Linked DNA regions of Oryzias latipes. The protein of the gene in region 2 binds, or shares a complex with, the protein of the main gene of each other region. Links are inferred from orthologs where the notes say so. Each region holds a gene or a part of one and is shown on either strand. Other genes may lie near its edges. The genes, in order: fnip1, lamtor5, flcn, lamtor2 and lamtor1.

Region 1 (4,975 bases), on a different chromosome or scaffold from region 2:
ACACAGGTTACAAAATATGCATTCTTCATTAACATCCAAAAGTCTGTCTTTGCTTATCCAGCTATGGCTGTGACCACAGCCATGTGATCATTCCAGAAACATGACAGGCCCAGCTTGATGAAAACCTCACATGACACACCACATTCTGAAACCATGTAGTAGGGGAAAGATCCTATTCCAGTCAGGAACCTGAGAAACGTCTTCTCCTGAACCATCATTAATGAAATGACCACTATAAATACGTTCCATGCAGCTTAAAACTTTGCAAAGCCTTCTGCAATGTCAAGCATTTCTAAATGTGGACAAGTATTCTGAGAATCATGTCGTTGCTATTAAAAATATAAAAGTTCACGTAGTTGCAATTATGAATTTTGCATCAATAAAAAAAATAAATCTCCAAAAAAATAATAATAATAAAGTTCTGCGTAATTTTTGAACATCTAAAAATAAAAAAAAGTTTTTTCCTTAAACATAACATAAATGTAAAAAGTTTTTTTATTATTATTAATTCCTGTGTATTGCTTCTACAGACTCCACACATTTCAGCACAAGCTTATTTTTAAGGAGCTGCATGACACAGGTCAAGAGGGAGGGTTTCCTCAGCAGGCTCCCGTGACAAGCAATCTGAGTCGCGGCACTGGAGACCGGCTGCAGATGAGCCAGAAACTCTCGGCGTATCGTACAGTACGCTTTCCATGGCTCAGGAGTTGCAGCTATGGAAACAAGAGAGGCTTTTAGGCTTTACTGCAGGGTGAGCCAACCCTCTACCCTCTGTGGTATTTTGAAAGCCACAATGATGCGGTCCGATTATGTTTTTGGTTGTTGACGCTTAATGTAGGGCAGCAAGATGTGAACAAAGACTAAGTTCAGTCAAACTTATTTGTGTGATTGTATTAGATGTTCTAGTTCCTTTATTCAGTCAGACTTAGGATTCAGGTTTGGAGTTTCTAGGACAAAGTGCCAGGAACCTCCAAATAACTAATAATAACTAACCCAGGCTACTTATAACAGCATTTAAAACAGATTTCTCACTGGTGACTGAATTAACCTGAAACTTTCTCCAGTCCAGCTGTTCCTCATACACATTCTAATGAAAGATACTTTAAAAAAATGTATTTTCTTTAACTCGGAAAACATTCATTCAGTATCCCTTGTATGTAAAACTACACTAGTCATAAATATTAGCACCCAAGTGTCCTTTCCCTACTGTCTATAGACAGATTTCTCCCCTTCAGAGCCATTTCATGGTTGATGAATGGGGGAAGCTTTAGCCAGAGGTATGAAGAGCACAGCTGACCACAGAGTTAACAGAACCGCCTGCTGTCTGTTTGCTCTAGACTGATGCCAACCAACACCAACTACTAAGCCTAATTACACATTTACACATGCGTCACTTTTTTTTAAATCACCTTTCTGGCCATCAGATGTGCTATAGCCCATGCTGGGTAAAGTGCCAGCAGCCTAACAAGAAGATGAGCTTTCATGACCACAAATAATTCACAGTTAAAGGACAACATGCGACATTGCCCAGTAAAAACGTAGAAATTCAAAGATTCCCCATTCAAAGCATACATTACTCTCATCTAGAAGGTGTGCTAGACTATCCTAGACTATCCTAGAAAAATAATTTCGGTGTAGTATTTTATCAAATACAGCGACAGTAATAAAGTAAAAGTCAACTTTTAGTTCTAATCAACTCAAACATGACATAACTTTAGCAAACTATAGTACAGACATCACTTTAGTCCAAATACATTTAGTTCATAATCCTAATTCAAAAATATATTTTGAAATACTTTTTTGAAAGCAGTATTAAAAATATATGAACATTTATTTTGCAATCTGTTTATGCACGAATGCAGTGGAAAGCAATTTTTGATTACTTTATTTTTACTAATAGATAGTTGTAAAACATACTAGATTTTGCCTCAATAGACACTGCTTTTGCAGTATCTGATAATAGGAATATAAAATACATCATTAAAAAGATAAATTAAATTATTAAAAGGTAGTTAACATCAGCAGAAATAAAACAAAATAATCTGATATGGGGGAAAAAAAGGTGAAAAGGCATTTATTTTCTTTTTCTGACCAAATATGGATCATTACTGGTTAGGGAAAACAAAACAAAGCACTGCAACATGAGAATATTTTTTTTAAAGATTTGTATACAAGCAAAATACATTTCTGAGGTGATGCTCCAGCATTTTTTCTTTAATTTTTAAATGTACAGTTCCACAACCCTTTTTCATATAACTAGCGATTTAAGAGTAATAAAAGTGGAGATGCAATAAAATATCAAAATATTTGCATATAATAAAGTTGCTTTTGCATGAAAAACATGTTTTTATTGGTGTAAAGCAATAGTCACTTTTAACCCAGACAATTCTGGTGGAGTTCTTTGTGTCTCAATTTCTAAAAATAAATAAATACAATGAAATTGTTACAAGTTTTGCTGTTTTATTGTGCATTTATATGTAAAAGAGGTCATTTTGTCCGTTTATTTCAAAGTGCCATCATATATTCGCAAAGGCATCCCATGTGAGAACTGTTGGTTCAGAAGCAGATCCGGACCGTCAATTCTGCATCTCCAAACGGGCCACGGAAGCTTTCACATGTCATCCGACAGAGCACACTGTGTCCTCCCTCTATCAGACCGAAACGGCGGAATACAATATCATCTGTGTACTTTGCTCCACGTTCAGCAAAGATGAGCAACACGGGAGAGGGTCTGCGCTGCCCTGCACGCGCTCAATTACTGCCAAAGACACAGAAAGGGAGGCACGAGGAGAAACAAAGGAAAAAGAGCGGCACACTGCTCCCTTATAACTTCTATAAGCAACAAACACAGACTCGCTAAAAGCTCAGAGTTTGTTTTAGCTACAAAATCACGTCATACACGGAACAATATTGGTTTAAATGTTTGGGATGAGATCGATATTGAGCCAAGTCGCACCAAGAAAGCGTGTCCTGCAGCTCGGCTAGTTGTTAGCATTAGCATGCTAGCTTCCCGCAACAACAGTCACAACACGTATCCCACGTACTTTACTTTACTTGTATACAAAGAGGTGCACAGGGGCTATTTAGAAGCCACACTTCCTAAACATTTACCACCCGAAGTTATACTTTCTTACCAAACAATACAGTGAATTTAATAAATAAATAAATAGCGCACACAACATTACACACACAAACCCCGAACAAACACACACAGGACAGCTACCTGAAAGCGACGTCTTCTTTGCTGCATCTAGGTGGTGGCGATGAAAATGCATTCTTCTTGTTGAAAAGTTTGTGGAAAAGAGTTGGAGGCATTTTGTTCCCACAACGAATTCGGCACGGATACCCGTTCTTTTCAAATCCACAAGCAAATTTTGTTCCTTGTAACTGTCTCCATGGGTGTCAGTCATATGACAGGCATTAGTCACAGGAGCACCTTGGTAACCATCTACATTTTCCTGATTGGCTAACCAGATACGGCTGCTACTACAAACTACGCGATTGGCTTATATTTTTGGACTGGAACCACGTGACCACAGACTTTTCCGTGTTGATGTTTTGTCTAGAATCGTTACGTCACTAAATTTAGTCTTTTACACCGGTTGAACTTCGGACAGAAACATGCTATAAATTTAACACTTATTTCACAAATATCCTTTTAAAAACAAAACAAAAAAATCCTAAATTGTACGTATACAGTGGAATACATTGACATATATATTAATGTTTACAGAACGTAATTTAATTTTAAATAGTTTTTATTTCACAGTTGTAAATTATACAAAAGATGAAGGTTTTACTATTTTGACTAATTTGCGCATTCTCATTTTTATCAAAAAGACACCTTTCAAAAATGTAACAACCTGATATTCAAAGGATTATTGAAAAAACATTTATAGAATTTTGAATATTAAAATAAAAACGTTGGCATACGTTTAACACGTGTTATATTTATTTTTATTTTTTAAAGAGGACAAGAAAACTGATACAGATGCGCCACCTAGTGTTCAACATTCACAACACATTTGGATTACATGCAAACATTAAAAATACAGGCTCTAACATTGTTTTTGCTTTATATAATATGCAGATACATTAAAAGAGGTTACAGAAGAAACAAAGCTATAGAAACACACATTACATATTAAAATATACCCACATCTTGTATAGTTTTATAAGGTTTAAAAACTCTTATTAGTATGTTTATTTTCTTGATGTCCTATACTGAAAAAGAAAATACAAACATTTACTGTTTTGAAGGCATTCATGTTTTATATCAAACTAATTTATGAGCTAGTTCTCTTTATTTGCCATTGTATTTGTTTTATTAATTTATCCATGTCTTCTAAAGTCAGAGTCATTTCTCACAGAGAGCATGTTCGTTCCAATCATGTTTTTATATTGTCATTTAGGCAAAAACTATGTTGTGCAACTGTACACTGTAGTATCAGAGTTAACTTCAGGTTAACTCAGATCTGCTTTTATTACGCAGAGGGCTTTGGGTGCCTACAGTAAAAGGAAAATAAAATGAGCACCTAAGTTTTGCACTTCTATCTCTCATGTTCTGAAAGAGAGCATCCATGTCAGCGTTGCTGGTAAAGTCAAAGAACATGGTTTTCTCAGTCTCAACAGGCCTTTTTGGGGTCACCGTTATTTCTTTTTTAGAGCTGATTTCATCCATTTTGGGCGTCTGTGCATCTGGTTTCGTCCGCTCAGAAACTCGGGATAGTTTCCGGATGGTGTCATTTATGCCTGAAGGTGATGGAGCATGTTTTTCTTTCAGAGGCTCAGAAATGACCGGGCTTTTGAATGATACCCTTTTTCTGCACACTATGGGCCTTCTCCCAACAAACTAGGGCAAAAACACAATTATTCAACTGCTACTGAAAAAACACAGTTGATTAACAAAAAACATTTAAAATGATGAAGTAACACATATTTTTCTTACATCTTGTGCAGGTTTCATCTCCTGAGA
Region 2 (4,953 bases):
TCAATGCAACTCCATTACAACTGTTTTAAATAGAAAACCACAATACTTAGAAAATAGTTTTTCTTTTTCCTGTTTTTGCCAAGATGCTGCAGAATTTTATTATGAATTCAAGTGAGCATCTCATCTTTACAATAAAACTCCAGGAAGTCCCGTTGTCTTCACGATGTAATTTTGTGGACGGCTATTGTGATTGTCCCGTGACTTCTCACCAGAATGTTTCTGCAAAAAGCAAATCAGAAATTAAACAATGCATTGGGGCAAATGTTCAGCAAAGTGAAGAAATCATTCTAGGTGATTGTAAATGATCAGTCAGACATAACATGCCAAGATTTTGGGTTGGCAAATGTTAATCAAATTTGCATCAGTCACACATTCACCTGTCCATATAACATCAGTCTACACGTGTGGAAGCAGCAGAAGAGCCACATTTCATTAATCATTTCTGAGCTCATCACATATAAAAATGTAAACATTTTTCCTTTGGCTTAGATAGAAAAAAGAGATTTTAGACACTATATTCATTTTTTTTTTATTTGAGTATAAATTGAGTTGGTAATTTCATAACTATATAGTTGTTGTTTTTGTTTGTTTGTTTGTTTGTTGTTCAGCTTCATTAGAAGTTTTTTTTTTTTGGTGTTGTGCTACTTAGACAACAGGATTGAATTCTATTTACTTGTGTTTTTGGTAAATTTCTAATTCCAAATGACAAAGTCCATTTCAGAGGTGGGAATTCCACTACATTCAATAGTTTAAAAGAGTCCAGAAGGTGGCAGCATAGTCCAAAAAAATAAATACTCAAATCCAGGTCTGCCTATATGATTATCCATGAGTCTAACCCTCACAACCACTTAATCCTGGATAATATGGTTTGTTTTGTATCTCACTGTTAAGCCACTTTGAATTAAATCATCCATTAAATGACTTAAATGTACAGTATTGAGGAGGTGGGGAAATTATTATATTCCAACATCCGGAAGTTCCAAAAGTCATGAATAGTATAGAGGAGCCAATACTCAGAAAAATAATTAGGCATGGTCTCCCACGTGACCAGCAGGTATAGAGGATGCTCATCTCTGCTGCACCTCTGTGGCACAGAAGTTGAAGCTGATTGCACAGCGTCTTGGAACTCTTATTTGTACACTTCCACATTTAAAACTACAAAGGCACACCTTAAATGCACTAAAACTAAGAAATAGAAGAAGTTGTGCAAAGGCACAGTCCATGGCTCACCCTGACTCGGACTCTAGGCACACAGTCGGTGTGTCCGTCAGGTCTCTGGTGAGAGCAGCTGCTTGTTTAGCCAGAACAGACACCACACCTCCATGTTCATCTGACAGAGATCCACGACCTAAAAAAAAAATATGTCAAAGACCCGCTCTGATGAAAATTGTGTTTTAAACATGTTCTTTTGGCATTTTTCTGATGATGGAGAACATATTCAAAAATGCATTTTTCAGGATTTGTTTATTCAAATCGTTGTGAATCAGCAGAATCCAGACTAGATCCATGGACGTCTTTGTTTTTCTCATCCGAGCAGTTATCGGGTTAAAAACTCTAGGACTGTATAGCTCTGATACTGCTCGCTATTTTTGATGTACCGCTAATGTTAGGCTTGGGGTCTGAAGGGCTGAAAGCTAGCAGGAGAGCATGTAAACAGTAAACAGATGAGTGACGACAAGTGGGCTTACTTCACGCCGACAGTCCTGCTCACAACTCAAGAGGTGAATTTTTAAAAAAACTAGTGCTGCTCTGCAGAAACTTTGTTCTGGAAAATGACTATTTTTTTTGGGTCAAAAACAGCTTCATCATAAATAAAAGACTAGGAATGCTTTTGAAATAGATCAAAAGATGATCAGAGTGGGACTTTAAATGATGACCTGCTTTAGATGCATCCTTCTGCTCATCAGATCAGTTCATTTGGACTGCAGTCTTTATTTAGAATTTAACTTTTTTCTTAAAGTAAATCTGATTTCACGTTTTTACAATGTCAGAGCACCAACAGTGTGATAATTTAACATGTAGCTTTAACATCTGGCAGCAAAGGTGTAATAACCAGCAGCAGATCAGACCACCACAGTGAGCCAGAATTCTTTGCTATGTTTGCTGGTCTGAACTGTTACTATCATATAATAGATCAAATCAGTTTGCCTCAAGAGGAAATTGTTACTTATTCAGTTGAAGACCCATTTTTAAATTATTCCGACTCAGGTCTTCAACACGGAAAACAGTCGATCAGTCATGAGAGCCAGGCATGTCCAAAGTCCGGCTTGTGGGCCAAATCCGGCCCCCTTTCAAATTTTCACCGGCCCGTAGGCTCCTACATAAAATCAACAGAACGCGTCCTGCAACAATATCTAAAAGCTGTGTGGTTGGCTAAATCAGACTTTATAAACCTGTGGAAACACTGTTGTGCGACCCTTTTGTGACACTCTCTAGCTCTTTAAGGGTCAACCTCTTAAAGGACAAATGGAAAATTTGAACATTTTTTCAGTGAAATATAAAACAACTGTGTCTGCCTAATGGGCCAGAAGACTGTGGCTGTTTTCATGGAGTTCAATATCAAGAGAAACTACCAGATAAGACATGCTAATACGACAAGCTAACTGTGAATGAACTGTGCAAAAAATATACAAATGTGACAGTAATTTTGGTAAAAACGTAGTTAGATGTCTGTTTTCTATGTGAAGACTGTCATGTAATCATGAAATGTCATGAAAAGTATCCCATTGCAGTATATTTAATTTAATGTGTTTCAAATAGTTCTAAGATTCACTGCAAATATGGGCCTCTTTGGAAAAAGTAACACATCCCGTTATGTAAGCAAAGGATGTCTTTAGGAGACAGATGTCTACACATGATCTGCACTGACCTAAACACTATGGGTCTTCTTTCTGAGTTACATCTTTGCCTCTCTCACTCACTGGCAACATTTCTCTAATGAGATTAAAGACTAAAACATCAGAAATAACAACATGATCTCTCATAAACAGCTGGCGGTGGAAACTTGTGTTTTTGGGGAAACTAAACTGTTGCGGGAATTTATTTATTAGCGAAACTGACGAACTAGAGAATATCGACTACGGGGTACTTCGTGAATAAATACATGTGATGTGACTTCCTGTTAACTCTGAAGAGTCTTACAGCCCAAGTTGTGTCCTTGTTGGTCCGTGCATAGAACCCCAACAACAGCTGGATTTTTCATGCTGCAGAAAAAACACGAAATCAAGAGAATTAGCCAAACGAATGTACGAAATGTAAAGAAACAAGCTAGTTAGCATAGATTAGAACTCACGTATCGTCAAGGTGTTGTTCGAGGGTTGACTCCATCTTTAGAAAACCGTAAAAAAATCAGAAAATGTAAAGTTCTATGGCCCAAAAATTGTATTTTTTGTTGTTGACGTTTGTTTCCTTAAATTCCTCCTGACAATCATGTGACTGTGACGTACAGTAAGAGACATCGCCAGGGTCAAACAAGACGAAGCGCGAACGGCTGAGCCAACTCAAAACTACAAAACAACCAACTAAAGACAGACTGATAACTGTATCTTTTAGTACAAATTAAAAATAATTGGTTTTCAGTAGAATAGAATAGAATAGAATAGAATAGAATAGAATAGAATAGAATTGACGGCTTAATTCAAATAAATGATTTTTGGTGTATTTTTTAATTCTTGTGACATTTTTCTGATGATGCAGGACACATAAAAAAAATAAGATTAAAATTGCATTTCTGAGTATTTCTTTATTCAAATCGTTGTGAATCAGTAGCATGTGCAAAAATGCCATTTGAAATATCCTGCAGATCTGACGTAGAAGCTACTACAAGCTACTACAACCAGCAGCATTTTCCATTATGATGGATTGGCTTGTAGATGACTAGATCCTTGTACATCTTTGTTTTCTTTGCCAGAGCTGACATCTGGATCAAAACGGTATGGCTGCATAGCTCCAATATTGCTAGCCATTTTTGTTGCATAATTTTAGGTTGGGGGCTGTGAGGGGCTGTAAACTGATGATAGGAAGCAGGGATTGGCTTAGTCCTCGCCAACAGTCCCGCCCACAACTCAGAGATGAATTTCTAATGAACTACTGCCACGCTGCAGAAACTATGTATGTCCCTGAAAACGACAAAGGTTTTTTGATTTAGCCTAAAAGCGGCATAGTTATAATTAAAAGACTACCGGTACTGGAAACACTGAAAATAGATCGAATGATTATTGGAGTGGGACTTAAACTGTTTATCTTACTGCAGTGCAGTGGCGGTTTTTGATATGGTCGATGTGGGCGGTCGCCCAGGGCGGCACTTCATAGGGGGCGGCATTTGCCGTTCCTGAGGCGTTACACATAATATGCTACATACTAAATTCAAAGAGGAAGCTTGGAGCTTTTAATTTGAAATTGCTTGAGCAGCCGACACTTAATGCTTTTATTTAGACACATCAGACTCTAAAGAATGTCTTCCTCCTATTTGCTCTTCACACTTATGGTGCAAAAAAAAAAAAAAAAAAAAAAAAAAAAAGAATACCTCAGAGTGAAACAACGTAAAACCGGCACATGAAAATGAATTAGGCAGAACAAACATCCGTGCTCAACCCAATTTCGAAAAAAGCAGGCAATGGAGATTATTTCCCACAATTCTTTGCTCCGACACAGCAGACCCGATGCGCACGTGACCACCGCCCTCTGCTGCAAGACGATTGCGGCCACACCTCTTTGTAGTCTTTGGAACATAAGTCAAAAAACTCGAGAGGGGAGCGCAGCTCGCCGGTGGCTGGCTGAATCACACTAACAGGTGATTGGGGGTCTTTTTCTATCTGACAATCAACTCTGAGCCGCAGCTGCGCGCTGTCGTCATGGAGACGGAGCCGCGTGTGTCAGAGGGAAGGGGAGGGGGAGGGGGGATTAGATCAGACCATTTTTTTAGGATTGAGTTTTTTTGGAGGATTTCTGCTG
Region 3 (3,708 bases), on a different chromosome or scaffold from region 2:
GGTTATGACAAGCATCATTTGGATTTCAGCAAAGTGCAAAGAAAGGGGTTAACAACTAATGACAGGAAGGACGAAGACAGTCGCTGTGCCAAAGACAAATTGTTCTTCTGAAAGTTCACGTCCAGCCATCTCTGCCGAGGAGGAAAAAGGAAGCCAGAGAATCCAGGCGGCCCTGCAGCCAACAACATAGGTCCCCTAAGTGTAATCAAAGTGAAAAACCTTGACCCGTACCATACCAGACAAATATGGATTTGTTTCTTTTCTCTGCTCATGCATAACTTACATATGTGACAGATGTTTTTAGAGACTTCTAAGTCATTCAACACGGCAAATAAAGTCCAGATTTCAGCCACAAGAGAGAAAGCAAAACATGAAGACTATTAGTCAACACATTCCTTCTAAAGAGAAAGATAGTCAACCAATTTTAGAAACTCCAATTTATCTCCTAATTTGGAATAAAAATTTGGTTTCTTTTCACTAGTACTTGCATATATGTAGATTTAAAAAAAAAAAAAAAAAACCTCGACAGAATAAAAGCCACATGCTGTCTGCAAACTTTAGAAAATCAACAGGCTTCAATAAGTTGTATGAAGAAACGAACCCCCCCTGAGATTAAGACTGCAAAATCCTGCCGATGTGGTGCTGAAGCCAGGCCTTGTTGTGCAACCGTTTAGCAGAAAAACTGAAAAGTGTTGTCTTACAACACTTGGGACTTGCTGGCCGATGGCCAGTTCAACAATTGAGCTTCTGGACAAACAGCCCCTCCTTCTGCACCCCCCTTCCCAGTATGTATTCCTCTGGTTCACCACAAGATGGAGCCAGCTGTGGAGTTACACCCACTCACCATGTGATGATTTATTTCAGCTGAAAATGTCAGAATGACTACACAGAAGTGCAAATTGCTGTAGTAATAAGTTACATTTTGCATTAAGAAATTCCCTGTGATACAAAAAAATGCTTATATATTATTTAAAATTCCTCAGCATGGTAATGTGTGCAGAGTGAGCACAATAGATTTATTCCTTAAAAAGACAATAGATGAGCAAATTCCTTCATTCACAGTCCTCTAGTTCCCTTTCATTCCAGCTAAAGGTGCTGAACAGTAACAAAGAAAAGACTTATGCATGCTTCGTTTAGCATTTAGATGTTGCTTTCACTTTTCCTTTTTTTTCTGAGCTCCCCGTTTTTCGCCCCTTCACCGGCTCCTCCTCCTCCTCTCTTTGTCACTGGCTGAGGCTCCTCTCCCCTCCTCGTACTGCTGTCATTAAATGGCTCTTGTAGAGTTTACTGAGTCCTGTCATCCAGTACTTGAGCAGTCTGACGTTCTCCTCCTCGCCGGGCCCCGTGGCGCCGAGAACAGCCAGAACCCTCTGGGTGTCCTCCCTCCCTCGGCCGTCCACTTTGGAGAACTTGAACAGCACTTTGACCTTACTGAAAGAGAGAAAATTCACAATAGGGTTCACTAAAGAGCAGGGGGGAAAAAATCTGTCTTTAACTGACACCAAGTCTGCCTCAGTAGGACTCACTTCATCCACTCCTCCTTCAAACAAAGCAGGCAGTGAGACACGACGTCCACAGACAAGTTCTCGTTTGACAGGGCGGCCTCCAGCTTGTTTAATAAAGTTGGACCTGAGAGGAAAAAAGAAACACATTTCTGTTTACAGAACAGGTTTGGATTAAAGCTGGGACAGCGATGAAGCCAACCACCTAATAGGTAGTTTCTAACGGGAATTTAAACCTTGTTATTTTATTATGTAATTCGAAAAAGGTGTTTTGTTTTAATGAAATGCTGCGGTGAAGTCCCACTAAAAAATGAAAACATAAAACCAAAGACATACTGTATTTTTTTCTCTGCTGGGCACAACAGGCATTATAAGCTTCTCTTCAAGCTCATAATTTATAGCAGCGCTTCAGTGAAAAAGTATAGGATTACAAAACAAAACAAGCCCGGAAGCCTCAGCAGTCATCTGCATTTCCCATCTCTGCTGTTTTCAAGCTACACATATAACCCAATTAATATTTATTTATAAGAGTTTCTAAAAGAATAGAACATTTAGAATCTTTCAGAGCAGCTGGGACATGAATTCTTCCTCCCAAAACGCATCAGTGACCACATATGTGCAAGCATTATTGCCGGTGTGAGCACTCACCTCTGTCTGTTGGCTGTGTGCTGGCACTGCTGATGCTGAAGTGATTGAAAGCGGAGATGTCATCTTCGCCTGCAGCAGACGTGGCATGGCTCCTCTCTGAGGTCACGTCCACCAGCACAGAAAACTCTTAGGGAAGGTAAAAAAGTAAAAGAGTAAAACAAAAAGATCCCAGAAAATTCCTCCAAAGCAAAATCGAACAATATGTGGGTGTGGGGTTTCCCGGCGACACGAGGAGATGTGGTACCTGAGGAGCTGACGTGTGCTGGAATGGGAACATCGGGGCTGAGACCCAGGAAGTTGCATTTGTAGGCCTCCTCATACCGATCGCTGTACGCCACCGAGCGCACACAGCCGACTGGCAGCAACGTCTAGAAGAACCACAGACAGACATTAAAATCAGTTTGATGTCTTATGCCATTTTAAAAGCATTCCAAAATTCAAAAACTTGTTTCGTTTTCTAGGTCATAATTGCAGTAGTTCTGAGTTGTGGGATGTAGCAAGGTCACCCCACTTCCCGTCGCCCATCTGGTTACATGTTATCCTGCTAGCTTATGGCCCCTCACAACCCCAACCTAACGTTACCGATGCAACAAAAATGGGAAGCCATATTGCAGCTATCCAGTCATACAGTTTCGAGCCAAATAGTAGCTTGGATGAGGAAAATGAAGACACAAACGTGGATCTATCTGTCTGCAAGTGGATGCATCAGAATGGAGCTTGTGACCCGTCCAATGTAGCTTTTTTTAAATACAAGCTTTTTCAAGCGGCATTTAGTTCATCTGCTCCTGATTCACAACGATTTAAATAAAGAAATACTTAGAAATGCAATTTTAAGTTTATTTCTCCTTGTAGTTGTCCTCCAACATCAGACACATGCCAGAAAAACATGTTAAAAACACAAAAAACATGATTTTCATCAGAGTGAGTTTTTAAGCACTGCTGTTCATGTTGTACCCGAATGGAGGGTGTTTGGCTGTTCCATCCTCTCTACCACTAAAGAAAGAACAGCATCATAACACAGGCAGGACAAAAGGCTTGCTAATTCAACACTGAGCACAAATCCAACAGTATAGCAAAATGGAAATAAAGATCTTAAGAGGGGAATCAAACTGAGCAGATATGAGCCTGTCATCTTTTCTCTTAAGCTTTTTGTTAAGAAAAAACTACGAGATGCCAAACCTTCCGCTTCTATATTGGGATGGGGCAGTTAGACAGACGTGTTCCCTAAAGGAACTGAAGAGTTGCAATACTTAACTTACCATGTTAAGAGAATATGAGGCAGGAAAAAAAGTTCAGAGCTCTGGTGAAAAGGTCGAATGATGTTGATAAAAGGAATTATTTTAAAGTGCAGGAAAATACGAGTGATTTTCCATTTCCTCGTTTTCATAATTTGTTTCATTTTAAATAAATGTAGATTCAGTTTTTGTTTTTTATACTACTAGATACAATAAATAATAAAACATGACCATTTAATTACCATCAAACTGGAGGCTAATGTATCTTTTCATTTGTGTTGAACTTTGTTTTTAACAAAAACATTAGCTTAAAATTCATAAAA
Region 4 (5,012 bases), on a different chromosome or scaffold from region 2:
GCTGGGAATTAACAAGCAAGCAATTGAATTGGTGAGCAGTAAACACCAGTGAGTGAGGGCCCTTGGGTAAGACCCTTAACGCTACCAGCATGAATGTGCATGAATGATCCCAGTGATGGTCCGAGGGACCGTAGGCGCGAACCAACTATGAATGAAGAGTGAATGAATAATGGACACATTTGAAGCGCTTTGAGTGTCTGGAAAAGCACAGATAAATCCAATCTATTATTATTATTAATTCAATTAAGGCTTGAAATAAACCAATAAGTCAAATCAAAATGAAATTACCGTTATATATATATTTTTAACATTACAGATAAATACTCTACTAGAAGTCGGCACTTCCTGAATGGATCAGGACGTTTTATTGTCGTAAAGCGGAGCAGGAATACGCCACCAGGAGGCGCACAAACACAGTTCGGGAAAGTTAACCAGTTGTTCACAGATTCAGACTTCCTGACACAATAAGTACGGTATATCAAACATTTTATACTGACAGCAAGTGTCTATATTGGCTCATCTTAACTTACCAACGACTTACAAAGACTGTAAATAGTAAATAAATAAAAATTGCTCTTTTTTTCATTCTTTTCAAGAGAATGAAACTGATGGTGGGCTGATAAGGGACCGCCTACAAAGTGCAAGTTCTGGGAAAAATAGACCAAGATAAATAAATACATAATAATAATAATAATAATAATAATAATAATAAAAATACTAACGATTAGTCAATGGTTCTGTTGAAAGTCACAAATACTCATCATAATTATGCTACAACGATGAATTTGGAAATTGATTATTTGATATTATAACAGGGAAATGAATCACATCTGATCAAAAATGTTCAACAGTTCTGAAGATGTTAAGGCTACAGTCACCAAACTTTCTCATAGGGCTAATTAACCTATTTTGACTAGTTAACTATTAACAAGTTTGTACTAGTTTATAGTTAACTATTTTTTCTATTTGATAATTGCATTACTTTTCCTTGATTGTTGAAGATACTTCCCAGAAGTGCTCTGTTTACGTGTAAAATGCTAAAAGAAGCTTAATAAAATTTTAAAAATTTGGAAAATGTTGATCTGTTTATTAAGTTTGTCATTTTTTTTTGGATGTGCTACGACAGTAACAGATCGGAACTCGGTATCGGCAGCAACTCCAAATCCAATAACTTGGAATCGGAATTTGATCTGAAATATGCTTCACTTCCACTAAACTACATAGAGGAGAGTGAATGAATAAACGAGTGAATAAATGTCCTTGGTTGAACTGAACTTGTGGGGTCAGGAATCGGGACTCGTTGAGGAACCACAGCTGATGAAGACCCATGTGAGGAAGCAGCGCCCTCACCTTTGCTTTCAGCATCCCGAAGCCCACCGTCTCTTTGGCGTACATGCAAAGCAGCAGGTTAGCCACATGCGTTATGGCCACTCTCCCTTCCTGAGAAAAAAAAAAAAAGCCTTTTTATTGGTCGAGTCCAAAGACTAAAAGTCACTTTTCTTTACAGGTTGTAACTTCCAATCATAAATCCACTAAGTCAGATGGATTTCTCACAGAACACTGCTTTGCTGTTAGTTTGCGATGCTCAGATTTACGACAGTATTTATGTAAGCCTGACCTTCACTCAGTTCAGCAGCTCTCAGCTAATGTGCAGACATGAATTATTACTGAATAAGGGGCGATGAGGCGCAAATCGAACTGAATCACAGGTTTGAAAGAATGGATCTCAGCTTTTTTTATGCGACCAAATGCAGCAGGTTTCCCCTCCATCTACAGAGCAAGACTCTCCACAAAGCCCCTCCTCCTAAGGCAGAGTGGGGGTTTTACTGTGTGGATTCGCTGATTTTCGGGAATTAAGTTAAACATTTTGCCTCAGAGCTGGAAGTTAGAAATAAGAAAATCATCTGGTTGTTTGCATGAGCGAAGATTATTTATGTATCATGAGAAAAATGATGCAGGACGTTGACACGTTTGACTTGAGCAATGTTTACAAAACTGTAGAGCGGGGCAAAAAAAAATGGGCAAGGAGTACAAGGAGTGTGTGTTTGGTGTCTTCCTGTGGTGCTATTGGTATCAAGAGCCAGCTCCTTCCATATCTGAAGGTTTGCTCAAGTCCCATTATTCATATTTTGTACAACATTAAAAGAGCCATTTGGTCCCGTTTGAAACAGACCAGACTGAACAGGTGCCACCATGTATGCATGCTAAAGCAAAACTACAAACACATTATTTTATTTAAATAATACACATTTTTTCTTTAAAGTCACAATGGAGGGGGAAAAAAAACAGCTGTGATGCCTCAAATTGCAGACCCCTTCAGAGATGTTGGGGCATTCATAGAATCTAACTTCAACAAAAGGGCTGAAGGAAAACAAGGAGAAAGTTCCCACCATGCAGTCCATGAGGATGAACTTGAGTTTGTCCTCGTTGAAGGCCTGGTGGCCGTTCTTGTCGTAGGCGGCCCAGATGTTGCTGGCGATGGCAGCGGTCACTCGAGCGTCTGTGTCGCCGTAACCGGAGTACGCCAGGAGGGAGCCTTCGTTGTTCAGTAGGCTGCTCGCACAGAGAGACGGTTGTTCATTACACACAAAAACAACACAATGATGAAAAGTTACAGTGACAAAGTTTTAAGACAAACGCCATTCCGTTTTCAAACCATGAAAACCAAGTAATTTTGTCAGGAGGTCTCCAGGACAGAAATTGATCGATTGATGCAAAATGGCTAAAACGATGAACAGATCTATATCAAACAGATCTACATCAAACATTACAGATTACTTATTTTCCCACACCACTTTTTAAATGTAAATCGATTTTTTTTGCTTTTTTTCTACCTGATAATGATATTTTGTACCCTGAACAGACTTTCTAAGCAAAAATAAAAACGAACCAAATATATTTTAAAAAGACTCTTATTTTGAAATCAAAATTCAACTGCTTGAAATTCGTGTAAAACTGTATTTGATTTAACAGCGGAAAACAAATCTTGAAAAAATATATTTGTATTTATTGCAATAAATAATGAAAATGTAAAAGTAGTATTAAGTTGGTGAAGTAATAATTATATAAACGTGTCGTTTCAGGGGAGCTTTAAGAGTTCTAAGGAGCTAGACGCAAACAAACCGCTGCTAGCTAGCTGGATGTTAGCCTGCTAGCTCGCGGTACTCACAGGGTGCTCTGGACGCCGTTCGTGTTCGCCTGGCTGAGAACTTGCGTCAGCGCTTTGGGTCGCAACATGGCCGACCTCTCTCAGGAGAAAAAACCCAGAAAAATGATCTGACTGAATAAACACGGGGCTTAAAAAAGAAGAGAGAACTGCTCAATAACAGAGCAAAGTCAGCTGACTCGATTCTTCTTCTGTTTCCTTTTCCGGTACATTTAGAGATGCATCATGGGAATTGCAGTTATATCCAAATACATGTTTCCTATTTATATTTATTATGTTTTTCTTTAAACTTTATTTTTAAATTTTTAATTATTCCTGATTTTTTCACAAATCTTTTTGTTTTAAATTACTTTCCCATGTAGTCTGTAAACATTTTTGAGAACTGGAATATGGCCATTCATTCATCTTCCTCCGTTTTGTCCATTTCTGGGTCACGGGGCTGCTGGAGCCTATCCCGGCCACTTGTGGGTGAAGGCAGGGGACACCCTGGACAGATTGCCAGTCTGTCGCAGGGCCACAATCACACTCCCATTCACACTCACACCTATTAGAGCTGCTAGAATATGACCAGTTCTTTGGAAATGTATCATGGGAAATATAGTTTGCTTCAGTGAACGACGAAAACTTCACCTCCTTGATTCATCTCCTTTGTCATATTTAGAGTTTTTATCTCAAAGATTTTATGCTTCAAAGAAGTGTACTTTTTATTCTACTTCAACCAAAGAAGTGTTATTTAAATCTTTTGACACTCCTCCTTACAGTAAAGGTTAGTCTGCTTTGAGGTTTTTATTGTCTGCTGGCTTCCTGGTGGGAGGACATGTTTGCGCAAAGTGTTTGGCAGAATCGTTTCCCTCCTGCCCTTTGGACATCAGAAAAAGTGATCGGGCCGAGGATATTATTGTTTTTTTTTTGTCTGTAAGAAGAGGATTTTGTTCTAAGAGGTAAATCTGTTGTGTTTGAGTGGACACACTTATAAAAAAGACACAAACCAATCATTTGTATAAACAAAAGTTGATTTGATTCCATGCTGTAACTGCTATGGTACATGAGTGCATGGTTAATATGTATTCTCTGATATGTGTTTTGGTAAAATTATAGTCACACAAGTGCATCCGTTTACAGTTTTGTTTATACCGTCAACCATTGAAAGCTACAGACGTGGTGTAAAATCAGAGAGGATGTAGTCTCATTTTGGCAGAAGGAAATAAACACATTTCCTTCTAGATATGTGACAAAAAAGTTAACTCTTTAAATTTATAGTAAAACTCTTTGAGGTCATTCTGACACCTCTGAAGTTTAGATGAAAGGTCAAAAAATCAGTTTTTTCTATTCTAGTCTCTGCAACTGAAAGGACAAATGATGATGACGAATAAAAGTGTCTTTTGGAGAAAAGAAATTACAAAAAAAATCTAATCAGTATGTACAGTGTGGCTGCAAGAAAGGCTAAATATCACCAATTTTAAAAAGAGTATGAATTTGCAAAACTTTGAGTGAATACTAATACACCTTTATAAAATGGCAGAAAATACATTTTATTTCATTATCAGAACATTAACCCTTGTGCTATCATAGGCACTTTAACACAGAGAGTTAGGTCATGTAGACCCACTAGAAGTGCTCTGAACCTTTTTTCTTCAATGATTTGTGATCTTCACTGGTGTCCATGGATTACATGAAATCTTTCCACCTTTATCCACCTTTGTCATGGCAGGGAGAACACGTCAATGTAAGGGTGGGGTCATCTAAGATAACACAAGGGTTAAGGCCATGTCACACATTTTGCTTAAGTTCTGTCTTTTGTGAAACATATGTGATAAACGTAATTCATTCATTTGTCAATGGGCAC
Region 5 (4,934 bases), on a different chromosome or scaffold from region 2:
GAACATTAATAAAAGAAAAGGTGCTTTGTCCCAGACCATAGCTCTCAGAGCTAATGTCCATTTGCAGTCCCAACAAGCAGCAAGTCAAATATTGAAGAATTGAACAAAAATTGTGTATTTGCTCTTTAAAAGATGTCTTACAAACGTTCAGCTTTACAGTTAAAAGAGAAAAAGCAACTCTTCACATGAAGTACTTAGCGGAGACGTCTCCCAACGAGGTTTTTTTTTGCCCCCAATCCGATTCTGAGTCATTTGATTTTGAAAATCTGCATGATCAGAACGCTATTACAGACTTCTAATAGAATATTTTAAAATATAAAGCACTGATCATAATAATGAAAAAAAAAATTAATATTAATACTTCAGCAGAAAGTAACATGCGATTTCAACTGAGAGTCTAGTAATTAATATCACTTGTTTTCTTTTTTTTGTCCATTTGTACATTTTTAAGGGGGAGAATTCTGAATGTTTAGATGAAGAAATGGGTTGATGCAACAATATTTCAAAATACTCTGTTTTTATTTTCAAAACACAACCAAGATAAACCTCAACTTTTTTATAGGGTCTTTGTTTTGTTTTTTAAACAAATCACCTGGTTTTACAGCATAAAACAAGGCAGGACAAACAGGACATGGATTCAAGGACATGGATTAAAGTGCGTGTCAGTGTGGTTACCTGCTGAATATCTGAATATGACACCAGATCACTTGCAAGCACTTGGTGGGGCTGGGTAGTGAGTGAGGGGAGGGCTAGTGCTTTCTTCTGTGGTAGGCTGGTGCTCACTGCAGTCAACTTTGTACTGGAACCATAAAAAAAAACACAAGTTCAGCTTCAAAAAAAATTAACCCAAATGGTCTCGCTTGTGTCCGACCAGACTGCACAGTTTTGCACTATAACCGGCGGTTGCCTTTTACAGCTTGACAGCTGTTTTGTCTAAACAGCTTTTATAGGGAAGCACCAGCACTGCAGCAATTTTGTGGTTAAATTACCTCCTTCACAACTTCCTCAGGATACAAAGACCTCATCATCCTCAATTGCTTTAGATTCCACGAATAAAACTGTTTTTTTTGCTAAATCCGAACCATGTATACAAAATATTGCAGAATAAAAGTTGTTCAACCAATTACAATACAGAGGCTTGCAGTTTACAAATTTAATATAAATTTAAATTATTGGCTTACACATGCCAAAAGTTCAGTTGGTAACGAATAAGTAGTCTTCAAAGACATACCTGTATTGCTTGGCTTTGTCCATGTATTCATGCTGCTCCATAACAACAGAGTCAGCTGCTGAGACATCAATGATGTTCCTCAAACACAACAAAGAGATTTTCATTACTTGCGTTTGAGACTATAGTGTCAAAAGTCCCATTCTGGACCTATCCAAACATAAAAAGTGCCTTACTGTGCTGTCTTGACCAGGATGGATGTGAGAATGGCCTGCTCATCCGTCCGCGCTGATGGGACGCTAGGATTGATCCAGTCTGTCCCATTTGGAGGCTTGCTAATGGGGTTTGGGTGGGGGATAAGGGGCTTAATCTCATCAGGGTCCTTGCAAAAGTAGCAGAGCATCTATTCAGACAATTTATACACACTTCTGAATGAAAATGTCACAAATACTGTCTTAAAACTGTTTTCTGAAGTAGTTGCAACAATGAAAGCATGCCATTTTACCAGGACAAAAGACTGTAGATGACATGTGTGCAGCAAGTTACTCATTTTTACTTTTAATAAGTGAACATATTACAAACTCTTCAACTAAGAGAAATCTCTGCAACCTTTGCTAGTGCTGAACAATAAGTCTGTTATGATATTTATTTTTCATGTGTTAGGTTATCCAGTACCATTTCATTTTAAATATTTTAAGAAACTTTTTCACTTAACCGGAAAACAGTTCATCTCAACTTTTAATTCTTTAAATACGAATACAAAAACCCTTCATCCACTTGTACATGTTATGCTACCAGACCTTACACAAATCAATAAAAATAATGTTAATTAAACCTAATGTGTGTTTTATTATAGAGAAATGTTTAAACTAAATCAATTATACTTTAAATTTCACTATGCTTTTAACAGAACAATTTACGTGTTTGGTTTAATGTGCTTTGCAAAAATAATAAAAATAGAGGGCTAAACAGTTATTTTACTACAACTATGATGGCATATTTACAGTAACAAAGGAACGTCACACTTGTTTCCTTATACTAAAATAGCTTGGAGTCTGCATGATCATGTGACACTGAACTCTTCAAGACACAATACGGAAAAGTCTAGTTATGTATTCTGTACAGCCTACAGCTCACAATTGATTTCTAACCCATGATTAAACAGCACGAACATAATCTACGTAACAAACTGCAGGACGTGAATTTGTTTGATAAGTAAATATTTCGTATATATAAACCACTAAACTTTAACAAGAAATCCAGATGTTTACATTAACAGATATACAACTTGTTTACTTTACTTAAGCTACTAAATCAGCTCCGGGCTAGGCCTGCATTAGAGTTAGCTACATTGCTTTAGATGTTACAGAAATATCTGACACAAAACTAGAAGTTACATGGGCAGGTTTTCCTCTTTATATTTAAATATCAATTTTAAAAAAAAGTAAATACCACGGTAAACAAGGCAGAACCGAGCACCGTACAGTTATCGGGTTGTGGTTAGCTAGCGGCTAACTACCTGACTTGTGTTCTCGTCCTCGTTGCTGTAACAGCAACCCATGGCGGCGGCGTCTGAGGAGCCAAACTAGCAATGCGCGGCTTCCCTGTTCTCCTTCAGATACGAGCCGCGCGCTCCGTCTCCAACAAACATAAAATTCCTCTCCTGTGGACTTTTACTTTAACAACATCAAGAAGCAGGAAGCTACTGCAGCACAGCAGCTTTTCAGACAGGCTATCACATGACAGCAGCTGTGTTGCAACAACAACTCAACTTCTACTTCCGGTTCTCGTGAAGCCGCTGCGGCCTTCGTCACGTGATGCAGGTTGTTTCATGCAGAAGCACAGTGGCGCCCTTCGGCGGGGCCGTGTGCCATTAGAACCCTCACCCCTTGCTTCGTTAACCCTTGTGCTATCCTAGGCATTTTAACATTGGGAGCTGGGTCATCTAGACCGACTAAACAGTGCGCTGAATCTTTTTTCTTCAATGATTTGTGATCTTCACTGGTGTCCATAAATTACATGAAATCTTTCCACCTTTATCCACCTTTGTCATGGTAGGGAGAACACGTCAAAGTAAGGGTGGGGTCATCTAAGATAGCACAAGGGTTAAAACAAATAATATTATTTTTGTTCCAGGCAATTAATGAAATCTGATAAACAATTATGTCATCAATATTTGTAATAAAAAATAGTATAATGTTTTTAAATTATGTATTATAATATACATATAAATCTTGAATCTATCATTTTTACAATATATAAAAATTATTAAATAAATAAAAAATATTAACACCTTCGTTTTCCTCCAAAATTTATTTAAGATAAGAAAAAATAAATATCTGTGGTGAATTCCACCTTCAGGAGCTTTAGCTGAAAATAATCAGTCATCTGTTTAAAAGCCAAAGGAAAAAATTGAGCAGAGCTGAAAAAAAAGACCTTTAAGTGTTAAATAATTTATCAGAACCAACAGCAGGTGAACAGGCCCCGTTTATATCGCTGATAAAGAAAATGGATGGACAGACGGACAGATGGATTATTTATTTTGTTGCTGAAGTGATGAAAAAAGGTATTCTTTTTCTTGTTTCATCTAATAACTGACTTTTGAAATCTGAAGTGTTGGATTTTTGAGTGAACAGTAATGGATAACAAAACTCCGCTTGGGATAATCTGAATCCGAATTGCAACTAAAAAAGACCCACAGTTTGCTCAGAATGTTGGAGTTTTGCTAAGTCCAACTACCTGCCAATCAAAAAAAAAACACACACCTCCACATATTCCACACCTGTGGTGAACAAAAATAAATCAATAGAAATATAAAATTTTGCTTTAAAGTCCGACTTTTAGATGTGAGAGTCAGTGGGAAATTGCCTCATTCTGAAACCAGCCTCTAGTGGTCATTTAGGTGTGTGACAATGAATGGGCGTTAAATTTAAGGTTCTCCATTTCAGATATTCACAGTGAATGTTTGGAAATCCACATTTACTCATAAAAATCCTCACAGAAATTAAAGAAAAGAAAAAATGTACCAGTCATAATTAATGAAGATAGTTAGACAAACAAATAGTTAGCCAAACATAAGTGCGGACAGGAAATATATACAGTAAACACATTTTCAGAAAATTTTTTCAGAAACAAAAAGTTTTTAAAAAAAACTCCATAAGCTGTAAGCATGGTTGTGACAATTTTATGTTTTTGACAAGGAAAATGTAGATTTGTTCATGAAAATGGGTCAATTTAAATATAAATATCTCAATGTTGACTTGTTTTTATCATAGATTTGTCTATGAGCTCTTATTGTTGTTGTTTTTTACAGTGAAGACAAAACTTTTAAGGAATAGCATGATTAAATTCCAGAGTCAAATGGCACTACCGGTAAATAAAATACATTTGATTTAAAACACATGCCTTTCAATGATGGCCTAACAGCGGATGAACAGTTCAACATTATAATGGGGTGGCCATGGTGCAGCAGTAGGGCGGCTGACCTCTAATCGAAATATTGCCTGTTTAATTCCCACCTGCTCCGCTTCATTCTGATGCATCCACCTTTTATATGACTAGATCCAAGTAGATCTTTGTTTTCATCATCAGAGCTGGCATCAGGCATTACGATAACATTGCTCCGGAAATGTTATGGTGAGGGTGTGAGGGGCTGTTAGCTACAGGAAGAGCGAGTAAAATGACATCTTTCAGTAATGGCTGAATTTCTAATAAACGACTGCCACTCCGCAGAAACTGTCCAAGAAAATAGCATAGGTTTGCTGAT

The links.
Region 1: lamtor5 (region 2) and fnip1 share a complex: the UniProt entries of both Homo sapiens proteins name them as parts of the lysosomal folliculin complex. The link is inferred for Oryzias latipes from reciprocal best matches to the Homo sapiens genes LAMTOR5 and FNIP1.
Region 3: lamtor5 (region 2) and flcn share a complex: the UniProt entries of both Homo sapiens proteins name them as parts of the lysosomal folliculin complex. The link is inferred for Oryzias latipes from reciprocal best matches to the Homo sapiens genes LAMTOR5 and FLCN.
Region 4: lamtor5 (region 2) and lamtor2 share a complex: the UniProt entries of both Homo sapiens proteins name them as parts of the ragulator complex. The link is inferred for Oryzias latipes from reciprocal best matches to the Homo sapiens genes LAMTOR5 and LAMTOR2.
Region 5: lamtor5 (region 2) and lamtor1 share a complex: the UniProt entries of both Homo sapiens proteins name them as parts of the ragulator complex. The link is inferred for Oryzias latipes from reciprocal best matches to the Homo sapiens genes LAMTOR5 and LAMTOR1.

What each region holds. Positions count from the first base shown.
Region 1 is NC_019872.2:4,917,708-4,922,682, forward strand, and holds the start of fnip1 (folliculin-interacting protein 1), read right to left. Parts: upstream 3,431-4,975; 5' UTR 3,316-3,430; coding exon 3,224-3,315; intron 1-3,223. Other genes in the region: uncharacterized protein LOC101165494, read right to left, coding at 4,460-4,852, 4,949-4,975. UniProt on the Homo sapiens protein: Binding partner of the GTPase-activating protein FLCN: involved in the cellular response to amino acid availability by regulating the non-canonical mTORC1 signaling cascade controlling the MiT/TFE factors TFEB and TFE3.
Region 2 is NC_019865.2:10,896,725-10,901,677, forward strand, and holds the start of lamtor5 (ragulator complex protein LAMTOR5), read right to left. Parts: upstream 3,467-4,953; 5' UTR 3,328-3,466; coding exon 3,293-3,327; intron 3,204-3,292; coding exon 3,142-3,203; intron 1,349-3,141; coding exon 1,231-1,348; intron 220-1,230; coding exon 159-219; 3' UTR 1-158. UniProt on the Homo sapiens protein: As part of the Ragulator complex it is involved in amino acid sensing and activation of mTORC1, a signaling complex promoting cell growth in response to growth factors, energy levels, and amino acids.
Region 3 is NC_019874.2:19,456,118-19,459,825, forward strand, and holds the end of flcn (folliculin), read right to left. Parts: intron 2,519-3,708; coding exon 2,395-2,518; intron 2,277-2,394; coding exon 2,151-2,276; intron 1,630-2,150; coding exon 1,527-1,629; intron 1,432-1,526; coding exon 1,224-1,431; 3' UTR 826-1,223; downstream 1-825. UniProt on the Homo sapiens protein: Multi-functional protein, involved in both the cellular response to amino acid availability and in the regulation of glycolysis.
Region 4 is NC_019874.2:28,619,736-28,624,747, forward strand, and holds the start of lamtor2 (ragulator complex protein LAMTOR2), read right to left. Parts: upstream 3,384-5,012; 5' UTR 3,238-3,383; coding exon 3,170-3,237; intron 2,554-3,169; coding exon 2,391-2,553; intron 1,441-2,390; coding exon 1,351-1,440; intron 1-1,350. UniProt on the Homo sapiens protein: As part of the Ragulator complex it is involved in amino acid sensing and activation of mTORC1, a signaling complex promoting cell growth in response to growth factors, energy levels, and amino acids.
Region 5 is NC_019871.2:21,798,222-21,803,155, forward strand, and holds the start of lamtor1 (ragulator complex protein LAMTOR1), read right to left. Parts: upstream 3,016-4,934; 5' UTR 2,730-3,015; coding exon 2,688-2,729; intron 1,551-2,687; coding exon 1,405-1,550; intron 1,310-1,404; coding exon 1,232-1,309; intron 800-1,231; coding exon 676-799; intron 1-675. UniProt on the Homo sapiens protein: Key component of the Ragulator complex, a multiprotein complex involved in amino acid sensing and activation of mTORC1, a signaling complex promoting cell growth in response to growth factors, energy levels, and amino acids.